Linked DNA regions of Saccharomyces cerevisiae S288C. The gene in region 1 interacts genetically with each later gene. Each region holds a gene or a part of one and is shown in the gene's direction. Other genes may lie near its edges.

Evidence for each region.
Region 2: of KIP3 (region 1) and STU2, changing one enhances a phenotype caused by changing the other (phenotypic enhancement), as found in Saccharomyces cerevisiae (4 studies listed by BioGRID, with this or other methods).
Region 3: mutations in KIP3 (region 1) and PAC1 together harm fitness more than expected from each alone (negative genetic interaction), as found in Saccharomyces cerevisiae (6 studies listed by BioGRID, with this or other methods).
Region 4: mutations in KIP3 (region 1) and LDB18 together harm fitness more than expected from each alone (negative genetic interaction), as found in Saccharomyces cerevisiae (5 studies listed by BioGRID, with this or other methods).

What each region holds. Positions count from the first base shown.
Region 1 is NC_001139.9:82,971-88,464, forward strand, and holds KIP3 (tubulin-dependent ATPase KIP3), read left to right. Parts: upstream 1-1,914; coding exon 1,915-4,332; downstream 4,333-5,494. Other genes in the region: ERMES complex subunit MDM34, read right to left, coding at 1-1,287; CLG1 (Clg1p), read left to right, coding at 5,011-5,494.
Region 2 is NC_001144.5:234,200-239,949, reverse strand, and holds STU2 (Stu2p), read left to right. Parts: upstream 1-2,246; coding exon 2,247-4,913; downstream 4,914-5,750. Other genes in the region: FRE8 (putative ferric-chelate reductase), read left to right, coding at 1-603; YLR046C (uncharacterized protein), read left to right, coding at 1,137-1,949.
Region 3 is NC_001147.6:823,829-828,369, forward strand, and holds PAC1 (Pac1p), read left to right. Parts: upstream 1-2,556; coding exon 2,557-4,041; downstream 4,042-4,541. Other genes in the region: putative serine/threonine protein kinase HRK1, read right to left, coding at 1-1,039; YOR268C (uncharacterized protein), read right to left, coding at 1,706-2,104; VPH1 (H(+)-transporting V0 sector ATPase subunit a), read right to left, coding at 4,224-4,541.
Region 4 is NC_001144.5:38,865-42,103, forward strand, and holds LDB18 (Ldb18p), read left to right. Parts: upstream 1-1,801; coding exon 1,802-2,341; downstream 2,342-3,239. Other genes in the region: FRE6 (putative ferric-chelate reductase), read right to left, coding at 1-607; COF1 (cofilin), read right to left, coding at 940-1,357, 1,537-1,550; bile acid-transporting ATPase YBT1, read right to left, coding at 2,416-3,239. UniProt on the Saccharomyces cerevisiae protein: May be involved in protein-linked oligosaccharide phosphorylation since the deletion reduces the negative charge of the cell surface.

The sequences.
Region 1 (5,494 bases):
TTTAGATGTATCTTTCTTGGAGTCCAAATTTAGCGATATTTTTTCTGGTATAACGTATTTATCCCTTATCGATACTGTTGTTTTCAAATATGGGGGAGATTGTTCTTCAAGCTCGGGTATCGGTGTTTGGACCGGTGTGGACGTAACTGTTTCAATAGCAGTACTATCATCAACAGCCTGTTCTCCTTGTGATTGTAGGTTCGATGGTGTGCGGGTCTTTTTGCATTTGATCTTTCTTCTCCTTGGTTTGGCATTGTCGTCGTTGCTGTTACTCCTATCGAAAAGTCGAGACTGAATCTTGGTTATCGTAGCCAAATCGTACTGGCTGGAATCTAACACTGTTTTAGGTAATAGATTGTGGGAACAGTAGAATGGCTTTACCAATTGTTTTGATGATACGGTTGATGACTTTGGTTGTGGAAATGATTGCGAAGAGTAGTAATTGTTTAAAGAGGGCATCCTTGATATAAATCTGTACAAGTTTTGTCTTTCCAAGCAACCAGGTATAGCGGAAAGAGAATTCATCACAGTGGAATGTAGTGACAGTGTTGACCTCGACGACACAATGCTTGAAAGACGTAGCATGTTTATTGGAGAAAGCTCTTGAAAATCTGATCCGTCCAAGATTACATTCCTAGACATTGTAGTTTGTTGATGATGATGCTCTCTTTTACCAGGGATGGTACTGGTGCTCTCGCCGCGATTGGTGAACCAGTTCTGTGACGTGTTGAAGATCAAAGAAGGAAGAACATCCTTGAACACTACATGCATGGACTCTTTTAGCCTTCTCTCAATGGTGCTTTGGAGAATTTTTACAGAACAATCAAACTTAAAATCCAAATCAACGTCATTAAAGGATATCCCAATTCCAGGGTTCTTTACAAAAATATTCGTGATGGCTTCTAGCTCGATGGAACTGAACGTCATAGTTATAGGAATTGTGAACGATCCATTATTGATGAGCTGGGGCATGGTAAAGCTGGGTGTATCCTGTTCGTTAATCAATAAAAGATTCGACTCTATGACTGTCTGTATCCGCAACATAGCATCCTTACATGAAATCTTGCAAATCCCCTTGGCCAGAGACTTGGGCTGCGTGATAATGTCTAGGTCCAGAATTTCTAGCTGTGGTATTGTAGGAAAATCCACCTTCTGTACCTTAATTCCGCTTTTCAAGATATCTAATTTCTTTTTAGACGGTGAGTTCAAAGCCGTAGATAACTTTTCCCGTATTCGTTCATTGAAAGAGTTATCACCAAACACAGCTTCGTTGAATCTAAATGACATGACGATGCTGAAGTTTCTTGCAGTTGTGTTTTTTTTGTTATAATTGTTACTGTTTCTATGTTTTACGAATCTTCCATGACTCTTCTAATTGGTCTCTTTTTACTACAAGGCTTCATGGCCCTTTTTCAAACCTAATTTATAAGTTCTTTGCCCTATGCTTAAAACAGTTTAGCCCTATTTAATATAGTACAAAAAAGGAAAAACCTAATTGAAAAAAGCTATTCACCCTAGGTCATTACTACTTTTTCCCTTAGCTAGCCGTGTTTTTAGTTTTTGTTTTGTTTATTTTACCTGTATTATGCCTTGTTTGATGACTTTAGTATGGGTTTGGTTTGTCTTATCCTTGGATACAAAAGGACCAGATACATTCACGTCTGGTCGGTAGAACATCGGTATCCAGTATAGTGTTCAGCTGTTCCTATAGAGACAAAATTTATAATCTGCGTGTAACAAATATCTGCAGGTTAAAAAAGTCCAGATCAGTGTTTCGAAGCTGTTGATTTTTCTTTTTTTTTTTTTATATTAAAATTTTCATATTCCCTGATTGCATCGTTTATCTGATTATCATTTCATTGCATTCTTTAACTACTTGAGTTTTCTTTCCAGCTGTATACTATTGACACTAACATGAACGTGCCTGAAACAAGACAATCCTCCATAGTCGTAGCTATAAGAGTAAGGCCCTTTACGTCAATGGAAAAAACAAGATTGGTCAATGAAGCTAGTGGTGCAGAAGCTAACTTTCCCGGTTTGGGGGATTCGTCGTTAATATTACCCATGAGTAATAACTCCGACTCCGATATAGACATAGACGCTGAAGAAGGTTCTACGCGGAGCAAAAGAAATAGCTTGCTGAGGAGAAAAGTAATTAGACCGGAGGGTATACGTAAAATTGTGGATTGTGTGGATGATAGAATGCTCATATTCGACCCAGCTGATAGAAACCCATTGAACAAAGTGAGTGATCAGGTCCTGAACTCGATGCGTGCAAGGGCCACTAAGGCCACTGCGTCCTCTATCAATAACAGCAATGCTACGAACAAATTTTCTTCGCAACGTCGAAGGCACGGTGGCGAAATCAAGTTTGTATTTGATAAATTGTTTGATGAAACCTCTTCCCAAGCCCGTGTATACAAAGAGACCACCAGCCCGCTCCTAGATTCTGTTTTAGATGGATTCAACAGTACCGTATTTGCTTACGGTGCTACTGGTTGTGGCAAGACATATACTGTGAGTGGCACACCTTCACAGCCGGGGATCATATTTCTAGCCATGGAGGAACTATTCAATAAAATTACAGACCTGAAGGACGAAAAAGACTTCGAGATTTCACTGTCTTACTTGGAAATATACAATGAAAGAATCAGAGACCTTTTGAAACCAGAGACACCATCTAAAAGATTGGTCATTAGAGAAGATACGCAGAACCACATCAAAGTGGCGAATTTGTCGTATCACCACCCAAATACGGTAGAAGATGTGATGGACTTAGTTGTCCAGGGAAACATAAACAGGACTACGTCACCGACGGAAGCAAACGAAGTATCTTCACGATCTCATGCAGTGCTGCAAATACACATCATGCAGACAAATAAGCTTGTAGACTTGACCTCGCAACATACATTTGCTACACTTTCAATAATCGATCTAGCTGGGAGCGAAAGAGCCGCCGCAACAAGAAACCGTGGTATAAGATTACACGAAGGTGCGAATATAAATAGATCCCTACTAGCACTGGGCAATTGCATTAACGCGTTGTGCTTGAATGATGGCAGCAGAAGCTGTCATATTCCATACAGGGATTCCAAGTTAACTAGGCTGTTGAAATTTTCACTGGGTGGCAATTGCAAAACAGTCATGATTGTTTGCATATCGCCCAGCAGTTCACATTATGATGAGACATTGAATACTTTGAAATATGCAAATCGTGCTAAAGAAATAAAGACCAAAATAATCAGAAATCAGCAGTCTTTGAGTAGACACGTTGGATCTTATTTGAAAATGATTACGGAACAAAAGCGACAAATCGAAGAGTTACGCGAACGTGAAGAGAAGATGATTTCTTTGAAGCTAACGAAATACAAACTAAACAAAGAAAAGATCCAGTTAGCCATTAACGAGTGCGTCAATCGTGTTCAGCAAACGTATGCAGGAGTGGAAACGTATCAAGTAGCCAAGACCTTGAAATCATTAATACTTTGTAAAAGGCGGTTTTTGCAAATGGTCAAGCTAGAAGTGGATAATTTGATACTATTATTTGAACGGGAGGAAAGTACAGCCGCCGAGATGCAGCCGGTGATTAGTAATTGCCGAATGATCAGTGGTCAGCTTTATAACAAAATACACGAGTTAGAAATGAAATTTGATGAAACCGACACTCTGAGTTCCGTCATTCATCAGGTACATTCCATTGACTTGAACAAGTTAAGAGAGATGGAGGACTGGGATGAAACTTACGACCTGGTGTACTTGGAGTCGTGTTTAAATCAAATATCAGAATTACAAAGAAACGAAATCTTGGTTAATTCCTCCATAATGACAGAAAAATTAATGTCAGATCCGGGTTTGAACTCCCGATTTAAATTTCTATCAAAGTGGCTGATGAATAGGACACCTAACATTGAATCCATAATTCAAGACCTGGTTCATATCGACGAGGAGTTTGAATCTTTTGCCAGAACTTTTATCGCCAATCCCGATAGCAATTTTACAAACACAAATATAAATATAATAAACACGACGGCAGCTGACTTGGCTGTTCCCGCTGAGACCCTACAACGGCAAAATTTTTCCCAAAAAAAAGTAAAGTGGACGAGTCCCGACCTTAGTCCCAGCCCTATGATTGAACCACAACCGGAGCTAGAACCAGAACTACACCAAGATCAAGACGCCATTGCAAGTGAAGTGGACGTAAGTATGCAAGATACCACATTCAATGAGCAGGGGCCCTCGACCCCCTCCGCTCCGACTACAGCGGTTCCAAGAAGGAAGATGCGCTCCTCCCTTCTTACTCATCAAAGTCTACTGGCCACTGCCAGGAAATAACATACATATCCTACGTAAACTATCGAATATAACTTCTTTCCGCCAGCATTAAACGCATTTATGTTGATTAATTCCGGGTTACGGGAAAAATTTTTCTTTAATTTCTTTTTTTTGAATTTATTTGGCACGAGAAAAGGTTCAAAGTGAATAATTGCTTTTAGTCATTAGACACATTACCTACTTTCTAAGAGATTCTAAAAGAAACTAAGCACCACAAATCATTGATCTTTTAAGAAAAACGCACAAGGATCATATACTAGATTCTCGTTCTCGTTTTTTCTTCCTTTTTTTTTTCTCTAAAGCCTTTTACTGGGTTAATTTCCTTTATTGACCCAAATTAAAAGAAAACGTTTCTCAGGAGACTCTTTTAAGCAAAATTTAGCAAATTTGTGTTTGCTGTTGTTTTTACAGAGACTGCATTACTTGAAGGTTTGCCTTTAAGTCTTCGAGTCGTTTTTTTTTATTAACTTTAATCCTTTTTCTGTGTGTTTGTGTATATTCAGTGGGGTTATTTTACAGTATTCGAAGAGACTTCGTTTCACACATTTAAACCAGCTTTATTAGCGTTTAGCTTATACACTACAAGGAATTTTTTTTTTCTTTAACATTATTAAGACAGTTATTGAGTTAATTCGTCTTCAGCCCCCCTCCCCCCAACAAACCCCCCTTCATATAGAAATGGCTAATACTTTCAAGTATTATCCTGAAACGATGGGTAATTCTAGTGGTTATCCAATTAGTTTGCCTTTTCCGAAAGGTTCGGCTACTTCTGCTGTTAATGTTGCTAGGCAACTGCCTAAATATTTAGGTCATGTTCCCTCGCAATCAGTTCATACTCAGTTGCCATCCATGGCTTCTTTAGGTTACTTCAATCAGCCAAGTTCTACTTACTATGCTCCTCCTGCACCACTTCAACAGCACCAGCAACCACCTATCCTTCCCCCTCCGGGCCTAATGTACACTAGTAACAATAACAGCAACGTTATTCCTCCTCCTGTTCAAATGATTCGGGATGGACAACAACAACCACAACAATCTAACCAAGTAAATGGGGGCGTCAGTGAGAACTTGGACTACGATATTTCTATAATGTCAAAATTTATCATGGAAAATGCCTTTGTTGCCTTCAACGCGAACTATAGTACTGATGACCAGACCACTG
Region 2 (5,750 bases), on another chromosome or scaffold:
AGTATTTCTTCGAGCGGCCGAGTTTCAGAACTGGGAGATAATTCCATGTTATCAGATGGAAATCCCCAACCTACGGAGCCCAATGAGAACACAGCCCTTCTAAGTAAGAAATCTACCTTGAGAAACCATCACCCACCAAAAACAAGTGATATACCTGACATCAATGCTGATGACGAGATAGATTTTACATATGCTTTTAGCAGATCCAAATCAAGGAAAAATACTGCACAAGGAACTCTAACTACACATTCTTCGTTTAACGGATCGAGCGTTTTCAGACAACCAAAGATCATTGAGCCACCTGCCCAAGATCCTTGTTTAGAGGCGGCGCCTAAAAAGATCAGAATTCCCGCAGGTGTTAAAGTGTTCTTTGGCAGGCCTACACTTGGAGATAAGGATTATGAATGGTGTCTGCAAACCGAATGTGATGCAGAGACGGATTCTATTCAATGTTGCAGGTGGGCGAATCAAGGCAGAGACCATGCTGAATATTTGTCACAAGTATGGGTTCTCGCTGCAGGCCCTAGAGGCTTAATTGAAAGCACCAAAAGATGGGCGACAGATGGTGGTTTACACTTTCACGGAGAAAGTTTTGCATTATAAGAGTTGCAAGTTGGCTATTAGTTTATGAGGCTTGGAAAATTCACGTATTTGATGGTGGCATATCTATAATGTCCCGTTTTGCTCTTTAATCTTACTGTCAAAAAAGGGCCCTATGTACGATCTTTTCTAACTGATTTTTTCCGAGAAAAGTTCCGCAGGCTGATTTAGTTTTTTTCTGGTGGTTGTCAAGCCTCTCTCCACTTGGTGATAGTTGCGAAAAATGACAGCGGATATTAATGGATATTAGCGGGAATAAGCACATTTCCATATTGATTATTTGTATGTCTAGCAACTTATAAGATGAATTATAAAAGGCATATAAGTTCTTCTTGGTACTGAATACATGACACTCTCACTACTGTACTAGAGACTTATTGTCGATAAAAGAACTCAACTGCCTCAATAGGAATTTTTTTACTAAAGCAATCACTGATTATGAAGGTTTTTATGCATACAATCCTCACAAAGGTGCAGCGATTGCATTTGTCGTTCTGTTTGGCATTTTAATCCTTTCTGCCTTGGTGCAGATCATAATGGCAACACACACGAGCAAGAGACGTATTCATCGCTGGGAAAACAATGAGTTGTCAGAGGAAAATTCCACAATAATATACTTTCCTGCCCGCGGTTTGATGTGGACACATTTTCCTTTCGTTTTAGGGATTTGTTTAGAGTTCGTGGGTTATGTGTTGAAAATAGTCTTTATCAATAGCCCCTCGATTTCGACTTTCATTGCTCAATCGGTGCTTCTATTGATAGCACCTTCACTTTACGCCCTTAGTATTTTTATGTTGTTCAGCAAAATGGCACGTCTAATTCTTATGGAGGCATATATGTTAATTCCTGCGAAATTTAGTACAGTTTCTTTCGTAGTGGCAGATATGATTGGGCGTGTCCTACAGGCTGTAGGAGGTGGGTTGTTATCCTCATGGAACAGCAGGAATACTGGGCGTATCCTAATTATTGTGGGTCTTTTCATTCAGATATTTTGTTATACCTTTTTAACGTTCAGTCAACTTTTTCTTCACTATAAAATGAAGGCAACGCCTAGTAAAATTGTGCGGGATAGTAATGAATGGTTCCAGTACAATTTTATACTTTTAGCTGGGATATTGCTGGTTAATGGTAGAACCATTGTCAGAGTAGTACAATTTCTAATGGGCTTACAAAGCTATATAGGTCAGCACGAATGGTGCCTTTACGTTTTCGATACAGTTCTAATGTTTTTACTACCTTTGATTTTCCTAGCAACCTTTCGCGCAAGAAATTTGTTCAAGCTGCAGGATAAATCTGTCAATATTCAATTAAACAAATTATTAGACAAGGAATCTGTGTCTGAAGATTAAGTAGTCAAAAATTTATTAATTAAATAGTTGGATAATATTTGTGCTGGGCATTAGAAGTCAATCTTGTCTTTTCCTTTATATGGTGCAAAGATTATCATGGTTAACGAATCTATTTTTTTTCGTGTCGTTTTTGTTTTTGTTTTTGTTTTTGTTTTGTCTGCTTGACACTCCATAGGAAGAGTAAATGAAGAACCTACCAGACCTAGGGACCAAATAGCATTACTAAACTACAAAGAAACAGCTATCTTTACAGTGTAAAGTATTTTTGAGTTTTTATTAAAGAGTTTGAAGTTGACTATGTCAGGAGAAGAAGAAGTAGATTATACAACGTTACCCCTAGAAGAGCGATTAACGTACAAGTTATGGAAGGCACGTTTAGAAGCTTATAAGGAGTTAAACCAGCTTTTTAGAAACTCCGTTGGCGACATCAGTAGGGATGACAACATACAAATTTACTGGAGGGATCCTACATTATTTGCACAATATATAACTGATTCTAATGTGGTCGCTCAAGAACAAGCCATTGTTGCCTTGAATAGTTTAATAGATGCCTTTGCGTCATCGTCTTTGAAAAATGCACATAATATTACTTTAATATCAACATGGACACCATTGCTTGTGGAAAAGGGCTTAACGTCCTCAAGGGCTACAACGAAGACGCAGTCGATGAGCTGTATACTCTCACTATGTGGTCTTGATACATCTATTACGCAATCGGTGGAATTGGTAATACCCTTTTTCGAGAAAAAACTGCCAAAATTAATTGCTGCGGCAGCCAATTGTGTTTATGAGTTGATGGCTGCATTCGGGCTCACTAATGTGAACGTTCAAACGTTTCTACCAGAATTATTAAAGCACGTACCTCAACTAGCCGGTCATGGTGATAGAAACGTTCGATCACAAACGATGAATTTGATTGTCGAGATCTATAAGGTTACGGGCAACAATAGCGACTTGTTAGAGGAGATACTGTTTAAAAAATTAAAACCAATTCAAGTGAAAGATCTTCATAAATTGTTTGCAAAAGTTGGTGACGAGCCATCGTCATCGAAAATGTTATTCGAGTGGGAGAAAAGAGAATTGGAAAAGAAAAGAAGCCAAGAGGAGGAAGCCAGGAAAAGAAAGTCCATATTATCGAATGATGAGGGGGAATATCAGATAGATAAGGATGGAGATACATTGATGGGGATGGAAACGGATATGCCACCATCAAAACAGCAAAGTGGAGTTCAAATAGACACCTTCAGTATGCTACCGGAGGAGACGATCCTCGATAAACTGCCTAAGGACTTCCAGGAAAGGATAACGTCGTCCAAATGGAAAGATAGAGTGGAAGCGCTGGAAGAATTTTGGGATAGTGTTCTATCGCAGACTAAGAAGTTAAAAAGCACCTCGCAAAATTATTCCAACTTATTGGGGATATATGGCCATATTATCCAGAAAGATGCAAACATTCAAGCTGTTGCACTAGCCGCTCAATCAGTAGAATTAATCTGCGACAAACTAAAAACACCAGGCTTTTCCAAGGATTATGTTTCACTAGTCTTCACTCCCTTGTTAGACAGGACAAAGGAAAAGAAACCTTCTGTGATAGAGGCCATTAGGAAGGCATTATTAACCATCTGCAAGTATTACGATCCATTAGCCTCCAGTGGACGCAATGAAGATATGTTGAAAGATATTTTGGAGCATATGAAGCACAAGACACCTCAAATCAGAATGGAGTGTACGCAATTGTTTAATGCAAGCATGAAAGAAGAAAAAGATGGATACTCGACCCTGCAAAGATACTTGAAGGATGAAGTGGTACCAATTGTGATTCAGATCGTCAACGACACCCAACCTGCTATAAGAACTATTGGATTTGAGAGTTTCGCCATTCTAATTAAAATATTTGGCATGAATACCTTTGTGAAAACATTAGAGCACTTGGATAATTTGAAAAGGAAAAAAATTGAAGAAACGGTCAAAACTCTACCTAATTTCAGTATTGCAAGTGGTAGTACCCATAGCACTATTGAAACGAATAAACAAACTGGGCCAATGGAGAATAAATTTCTCCTGAAAAAAAGTTCTGTACTTCCCTCCAAGAGAGTGGCATCTTCACCGCTGAGAAATGATAACAAAAGTAAAGTGAACCCAATAGGGTCAGTAGCCTCCGCATCAAAACCATCAATGGTAGCTGCTAACAATAAATCGAGGGTCCTGTTGACGTCTAAGTCTTTGGCAACGCCAAAAAACGTAGTAGCTAATAGCACTGACAAGAATGAAAAGTTGATTGAAGAATACAAGTACAGACTGCAAAAACTACAAAATGATGAGATGATATGGACCAAAGAAAGACAAAGCCTATTGGAAAAGATGAATAATACAGAAAATTATAAGATCGAAATGATTAAAGAAAACGAAATGCTAAGAGAGCAACTAAAGGAAGCGCAGTCTAAATTGAACGAAAAGAACATTCAATTAAGATCCAAGGAGATTGATGTCAATAAGCTGTCTGATAGAGTACTGTCACTAGAAAACGAGCTTAGAAACATGGAGATCGAATTGGATAGAAATAAGAAAAGAAATGATACAAACTTGCAATCGATGGGTACGATTTCATCATACTCCATACCTTCTTCCACCGTGTCAAGCAACTATGGGGTAAAATCTTTATCTTCCGCTTTGCCATTTAAGGAGGAGGAAGATGTCAGAAGGAAAGAGGACGTCAACTATGAAAGAAGATCAAGCGAGTCCATCGGCGACCTGCCGCACCGCGTAAACTCTCTTAACATACGGCCGTACAGAAAAAACGGCACTGGAGTGAGCAGTGTCTCCGACGATTTGGATATCGATTTCAACGATAGTTTTGCCTCAGAAGAAAGTTATAAACGTGCCGCTGCAGTGACATCTACCCTAAAGGCCAGAATTGAAAAAATGAAGGCCAAATCAAGGCGGGAAGGGACAACCAGGACGTAAAGGGTAGCCTCCCCATAACATAAACTCAATAAAATATATAGTCTTCAACTTGAAAAAGGAACAAGCTCATGCAAAGAGGTGGTACCCGCACGCCGAAATGCATGCAAGTAACCTATTCAAAGTAATATCTCATACATGTTTCATGAGGGTAACAACATGCGACTGGGTGAGCATATGTTCCGCTGATGTGATGTGCAAGATAAACAAGCAAGGCAGAAACTAACTTCTTCTTCATGTAATAAACACACCCCGCGTTTATTTACCTATCTCTAAACTTCAACACCTTATATCATAACTAATATTTCTTGAGATAAGCACACTGCACCCATACCTTCCTTAAAAACGTAGCTTCCAGTTTTTGGTGGTTCCGGCTTCCTTCCCGATTCCGCCCGCTAAACGCATATTTTTGTTGCCTGGTGGCATTTGCAAAATGCATAACCTATGCATTTAAAAGATTATGTATGCTCTTCTGACTTTTCGTGTGATGAGGCTCGTGGAAAAAATGAATAATTTATGAATTTGAGAACAATTTTGTGTTGTTACGGTATTTTACTATGGAATAATCAATCAATTGAGGATTTTATGCAAATATCGTTTGAATATTTTTCCGACCCTTTGAGTACTTTTCTTCATAATTGCATAATATTGTCCGCTGCCCCTTTTTCTGTTAGACGGTGTCTTGATCTACTTGCTATCGTTCAACACCACCTTATTTTCTAACTATTTTTTTTTTAGCTCATTTGAATCAGCTTATGGTGATGGCACATTTTTGCATAAACCTAGCTGTCCTCGTTGAACATAGGAAAAAAAAATATATAAACAAGGCTCTTTCACTCT
Region 3 (4,541 bases), on another chromosome or scaffold:
CACAATTATCCAATTTCAAATCTCTATGTGCCAATCCCATAGAATGTAAATATTTAACACCTTCAGTCAATTGCTTCAAGCAACAGTTGATCTCGCCACGAGACATCTTGCCTGTCATAACAACAGCAAAAAAATCAATCGGACAGTACTCCATAACTTCATAGTATTTATTTTGTTTAGAATCAGAGAAAACGTCAACAGTTTCGATAACATTTGGGTGATGTAAAGTCGAACCAATACAAAATTCTGCGGTGCACTTCTTGGCATATTCTTTCACACTCTCATTCGGTTTCCTTGGTCTGAATTCTTTGACGGCAAAAGTAGCACCATCAGTTGGTCTCACAAGAACTTTAACGGACCCACCGGCACCGGAACCCAATAACTTACCCAATTTCCCGTATTTTTGAGCCAGAATACAATCATCGTGATATATATTAATATTATTGGACAAAGATAGGATAGAATCGGTACTTGGCGGTATAGCAGACTGGGTATGAGCATAGTGGTCTGTAAAGCCATGAGGATGCTGGGCACGATAGTGATTATTTAAATTAACTGTAGAAGTTGATTTTGAAGGTGGGGGGGAATGGGTGCTATGTTTCTTGGAACGAAGTTGAGACATAGATAGTTTTTTATTTACAGAAGGTCTGAAAAACCTTTTCAATTCTGCCATGGAGTGGGTTTGTTTTGGAGAGGCGGGAGAAGTATAGTCATGGAGCCCATGAGAAATATTATGGTGGTGGTTTGTTTCATAGTTATTATTGTAGTTGTTTGTTGAGATACTGGTTGCATTAGAATGGCTATGGGTGTTGTTATTAAGGTTTGTTGTAGTATAATTTGTAGTGGTTGTGGTAGATTTCATGGAATCTGTAGATTTCTCGCTTCTTAGTGAGTCATTACTTTGTTTTCTACCAATGAAGTTTAAGAAAGATTTAGAACTTCTGATCAACTGTGGCGGGTTATTAGACGAATTTTCACGGTCATGATGATGGTCATTATGATGACCATGGAATGGGTTTCTCGACAATAGATTAGGCATCTTTATACGAGAAATAGTTCTACCGTATTATTATAATTATTAGTGTTATTATTTTTGTTTTCGATCAATTCTAGCGGAGCTACAATGTGGTAGTCAAACGCTGCTATTGTATTTAATTCCGGCTCGAGACCAGTCTGGAAAGTCGACGTATATCGTTACTACTATCCTTTTTTTATTATTCCTACTATTTCCTTATTGAAAAAGTGGAAAACTGTTAAATCTGGAAATTCTTCACGATTCTAGAAAAATAGGAGGTGAAGAAGATTTCTAAGCTTTTTGAAAAAAACGGGAAAAGGAAGAGGCCCAAAAAAGTGAAAAAAAACTGTGTGTGTGAAATGTAAACGAACTTTGCTCCCTCTAGGAAAAACTTCTTTAAGCGGTTGGGAACTGTCTTGGGCTTACTTGTTTGTAAACAGTTGTATGAATGATTCTATATGCTAATTCTCAGTTTGTCTCTCTTAAAGATTTGTCACTCTGAAATATATAGCCAAATAGAACTAGGCGAAGAAAAAGAAAAGGGGCGGCGACGACGTAGGGGTCAGGTAGAAGAGTTGGGCACTTATTGGCGATATAAAAGACAAAATACACTAATGCAAGAGTATGGTGAGCGAAAGGAAAATAAAGAAAGGCTACGTTATTGACGGATATATGAATCAAGACACAAGACTATTTTGTATAGTAAGCAGAACCGGCTTGTGTTTGTGATTCATGGATCAACGAGACGGTAGCGAATAAGCACCAACGGAAAAAAAGAAAACATACGCATACATGCACGTACAAGATAAAAAAAGCACAGGTGTGGTGGTAGTATTGGGATAACCAGGCACACGCTACTGCGAGATAGCAAAAGACCCTTCCCGTAAACCGCTCGGATAAACCGATTTTGTCCTTTAGCGTGACACGGATTATACGCGGGGATCCGGCGTCACAAGCCACGGCCCGTCCCGTCCGCGTGGTTTTTAATTCTGGCTCCGCGTAGTACATTTTGTAGCTTGCCTTTTTTCCGGCTTCTAGAAAACTGGAAAAACCATAAGAAAAAAATGGGAAGGGGAAAACAAAAACCATTCAGGTCTTGCGTGCCGAGAATTTTTTTTTTCTCTTTTTCGTTGTCAACTTTTGCAGTAGCAGCCGCTGGCGACCCGGACGGTAGCCATGGCAACGGTTAGCTAATGGTAGGTAAATAAAACGAGTAACGACGTTTTAGTATATCTTGGTAAACTACAATTAGATCTTAAAACGGTTCCTGAAAAAGTGCTTTCATCTACCATTGAATTTAATTCACTTCCCTTTATGGAATTTGCACTGGTTTTGTGCTGTGGGATGTGGGTGTTTTGAAATATTTTCAGCTTGCAAGTCGTGCATATTGCACTTGTTTCTTATTTTTGGCGAGTGTAAACGTAATAGGTAATCTTAGTATTGGGCCATCGTCGCCCAGATAGCCATTGATAAAGCAGCTAGGTTCGTCGTCCGGTTGTTGGTATACACCTGTGCGTGCGTAAGTGTAGAAAAAAATAGAAATGACTAACTGGCAGCAACAGCTTCCTTTAACAGATACACAGAAAAATGAACTCGATAAAAGTGTCCTCCGATATTTGAATTGGAATTACAAACAAACTGTACGACATGAGCATGCTCAAGATTACGAAAGTGTTCGACATGCAATTGTAACTCTATCAGGTTTTCTGTTGCAAGAATCAGTGGACCGGCAAGAATTCATCAGTAACAATGACACCAGTAACGAAAGTATGGTAGACATTGATGAATTACTGCTACCGAAGAAGTGGAACTCAATTGTTAGACTACAAAAAAAAATCATTGAATTGGAGCAGAATACAGAGACCCTTGTATCTCAGATTAAAGATTTGAACACTCAAGTGTCAGAACTAGCACAATTCAAACCTACCACCAGTAACGGCACCAGCGCACATAATGTTTTGAAATGGATACCGAGAAATCTACCAAGCTGTTTAATTAATGTTGAATCATCTGTCACTTCCGTCAAACTACATCCCAATTTGCCTATAGTGTTTGTGGCCACAGATCATGGCAAATTATACGCATTTGATTTATTTAACTACACCATCCCTCTGGCATCCTTGCAAAGTCATACCAAGGCAATTACCTCCATGGATGTTTTATTTACCAATTATACGAACTCCAGCAAGAAGAACTATTTGGTGATCGTTACCGCGTCTAAAGATTTGCAGATTCATGTTTTCAAGTGGGTCTCCGAGGAATGCAAGTTCCAACAAATTAGGTCTTTATTGGGCCATGAGCATATTGTCTCTGCGGTAAAAATCTGGCAGAAAAATAATGATGTCCATATAGCGTCCTGTTCCAGAGATCAAACTGTTAAAATTTGGGACTTCCACAATGGTTGGTCGTTGAAAACATTTCAGCCTCATTCCCAATGGGTTCGTTCCATAGACGTTCTAGGCGATTACATCATCTCTGGTTCACATGACACTACATTAAGGTTAACACATTGGCCATCAGGTAATGGTCTTAGTGTTGGCACGGGTCATGAATTTCCCATAGAGAAAGTTAAATTTATTCATTTCATCGAAGACTCTCCGGAGATAAGGTTTAGAACACCATCAACGGATCGATATAAGAATTGGGGGATGCAATATTGTGTCTCAGCGTCAAGAGATAGAACGATAAAAATCTGGGAGATACCTCTACCTACGTTAATGGCCCATAGAGCACCCATACCGAATCCTACAGATTCAAATTTCAGATGTGTTCTTACGTTGAAGGGGCATCTTTCGTGGGTTAGAGATATTAGTATTCGAGGCCAATACTTGTTTTCTTGTGCTGATGATAAATCTGTCAGATGTTGGGATCTGAACACGGGGCAGTGCTTACACGTTTGGGAAAAGTTGCATACAGGATTTGTCAACTGTTTAGACCTGGATGTGGATTTCGATTCTAACGTTACCCCAAGGCAAATGATGGTCACTGGTGGATTGGATTGCAAGTCTAACGTTTTCATGAGATAAGTTTGGCTTTCCTATTTCTTTTTCCCTTTTTTTTGACTCTTTTTAAGCATTGGTTGATACTTTAAATACTTTATTGAATTAGCATTGATAGTATATAATAAGGTTTACTCACTATATAGTAGCATCATTTATTATTTAATGAAGTACTTAAATGTTTCGCTTTTTTTAAAAGTCCTCAAAATTTAGCTTGAAGCGGAAGAGCTTGCACTAGCAACAGCGACTTCCATGTCTTTATACTCAAATGCGAATGGTTCGTATGGTAAACCTTCACCCACGAAAAACTTGGACATAGATTCAACCCAGTGCAAACGTAAGGAATGAAGCATGGCAGATGTACCTTCCATCAAAACAAGAACTGCACATGTTAGTGCGAACCACATGGCAAAAAGTGCAACCGTCATAAACACACCCACAAATCCTCTAAATCCAAAGGCAATTTGAATTGTCATTGTCCATAAAACACTAGACAATTGAGCATGTGCCAATGATAAGGCCCATAA
Region 4 (3,239 bases), on another chromosome or scaffold:
TTGCAAATAGCGCTCGATTCAGGCCGTTATAGTGACTCATATGGAAGAAGACGGCGATAATACCCACTATGACGAAGTAGTAAGTTAAATATGCACCATAAACACTGCTGATATCTAAATTATAGGCATGCGCATGAAAAGCTCGTATCCATCTAGATCTTGTCTCACGATCGACTCGAATGGATGTCGATAAACTTTCAATAGAACCATAGTCTTCCAAAGCGTGAGAAGAAGCATTATTTAAAGATGAGTAGTATTGCTCCAGTGAAATATTGCTAAACTTTTTATCGACAAACGAGCACGTTTTTCGTACGTTACCCAAGCTTTCTTCGAAACTTGTGTTGTCCATGGGAATAATCTGGTCTGTAAGCGAATTGAAGATACAAAGTGACCAAGTATCAAACGCTGGTGAATAAGAGCATATGGTAGAATAGAAACCCGGTACGACGGAGCTATCAAATGACCACTTCAGAGTATTTATATAGGATGCGCATGCCAGCACAGCGTTGGATTCCAAATGGTCTTTTTTTTCAGTGTGTGGTAATTTTATATTAAAAGCCTTTGTTAAAGATATCAGCCACGTTAAAAACAGAAGCGTTCTATGCATATTCAACGAGCTATGGTCGTCATGCTTCACTTTAGAAGATTATAGAAAAATCATTGCTGCCTGGTTCGATGACCTTGTATCTTTTCTTGATCTACATGGCCAGTATTTCCGTTCTGAATTTAGAATTACAAATATGGGTGCAAAAACAATGCCCACTAGCCGGGGTGTACGGGACCTTAAATCTAAGTATTGTGTTTTAGATAGAGTTGCGAAGAGAAAATTATAATTATAATAATTCTATACATGTATTCTGTATATATATGACGATTTTATATATAGATATACATTTTCATTTTTCTTGAAGATTGTTGTCATTTGTGAAATCATTTACCTTAATGAGAACCAGCGCCTCTGCTGACTCTTTCCAAAACAGAATCGTAAGAAACTTCGGAAAAATCAGTACCTTGAACATCGGTAGAGACACCGTTTAAGGCTCTTCTTAAGGCATCCTTGGAGGATGCATAGACCATCTTAGATCTGACTGGAGCAGTGTCTGGAGACCAAGTGAAGAAAACAATCTTGGATCTCTTACCTTCATTACCATTAATTTCGTATTCAAAATCGTAAATGGCGTAAAGACAGTCGTTTTCTGGCAATTTCTCTAAGAAGGCATCGTAAGATGGGTCAGTAGAGGTTTCCTTGACAACGATTTCGGTTTTAGCATCGTTCAATCCGAATAAAATAAATTTGTATTTTTTACCCAATTTCAAGTCATTGAAAGCGGTAAGGGATTCATCAGCAACAGCAACACTACACAGAAACTTCACATTTTCCTGGCTTCTTATGAATTTTTTCCCCCACATTCCTTTTAAAGTTCCATGTTAAAAAGGGAGGAAAGAAAGGACATAAGAGAGCGAGATAAAACAGCATCATGTCAATTAGTTAGTAATTGATAGTTTACACAGGAGTACAAATGAAATTTAGCATACCCAGATCTAGACATCTTCTTTTGTTAGTTTTTTGTTTATGTATGTTTTGAAATCTGAAGTTTACGTAGTTGCTAACCAGTCTTTTCTTGTTTCCTCTTTTTCTTCCAATTTTGTCATCAAACAGGGGCGGCGTCACCCGAATATTGTTCTTATTACCCGGATATTAGGTAATTTAGAGGTACTGCATATAGTATAAGTGATTGATGAACTTATAGAATGTTCTCTCGAGCTTCCAAGGCCATTAGCCTCTACCAAAGGAAGTTTGATGCCTGGTCTTAAGCTTGTTGAAGCTTTAGAATACAGGTGTGACCGATTGGAGCGGCTTATAGGCGCCGGATACAGCGCGAATTCCGATGTTTCAGTGCAATTAGATGAACTATACAATCAGTTACATCGTCTATATTTCCAGGGTCTAAAGTATTCTCAAGATCTCCTGCAACTCTTTAATACTTTCATGGCTGAAGACATCGAGAACGTGGGAGCTCCTGATGATATTTGTATTTTTGCTAGTTGCTTTGACGATATTTATACATTATATAGTGCATTTGACGAACTAAACAGCCAATATATGGAGTTTTGCCAAATCAGTAAAAGTTCATTGGATCAGATTTCCTTCAAAGACGCAAATATTGAAACGAAACAGTTGAAGAAGTTACCCGAGTTGGTGGATAACTGCAACATAATGATTTTGAGGTCAATTGCAATTCTAAACCGTTTCATCGACTGGAATATTGAAGTTAACGGATTCTTCCAGTTCCAGAAAAAGAGGCTGTTGAATTTACAAAAGGTAATTTATAGTACGTGAACATGTGTGCGTATATACATATATATATATATATATATATATATATATATATATATACTTTAGCATCGAAACAGCTAGTCCTTTTTAGAGTTCAATTTTTCCACAAAGGCTTTTTTAGCCAATTCAATTAGGATATCCAATTCTCCACTATGCTCACACATGCTATAAAAGGCACTTTGTTTGTTAAGTAACAAAGAATATGGGTGATCATACTCTTTTACCTCACCTGCATCCATCACCAAAATTTTATCATAATCGATAACAGATCTCAACCTATGTGCAATTGTCAAAATTGTACTACCTTGGAACTCTTTTCTTATGGTTTCTTGGATCTTCGCATCGGAACTGTAGTCGATGGACGCTGTAGCTTCGTCCAGCAATATGATCTTTGGACTCCTCAGTAAAGATCTAGCAAGGCACATCAATTGGCGCTGTCCTTGAGACAAATTGGATCCACCTTCGCTAATTTCACTACTTAAATCCAAGAATTTATTAACATTTTCGGAGTTAGTCGACGAAGCCTCATTGCTTGTTTCTCTTGTGGCGCCTTGTTGTAATTGTTCTTCACTAATTAGATTTACACGTTTCAAAGCTTCAAAGATCTGTCTGTCACTAAATTCATCATATGGGTCTAGGTTTGTTTTAATCGTCCCTGAGAATAGTGTTGGATCTTGTGGAATAATAGTTATAGAACGACGCAGTCTTTGTAAATCAACACCGGAAATATCGATATTATCAATTTTGATATGGCCTGTCTCAGGTTCCAAAAATCTGAACAAGGCGGTAATAATAGTTGATTTACCGGCACCGGTTCTACCAACAATACCGATCTTAGACTGAGCGTCGACAGAAAATGAAACATTTTTAATTACTCTAGGTAGATTTGGAGCATACCGTA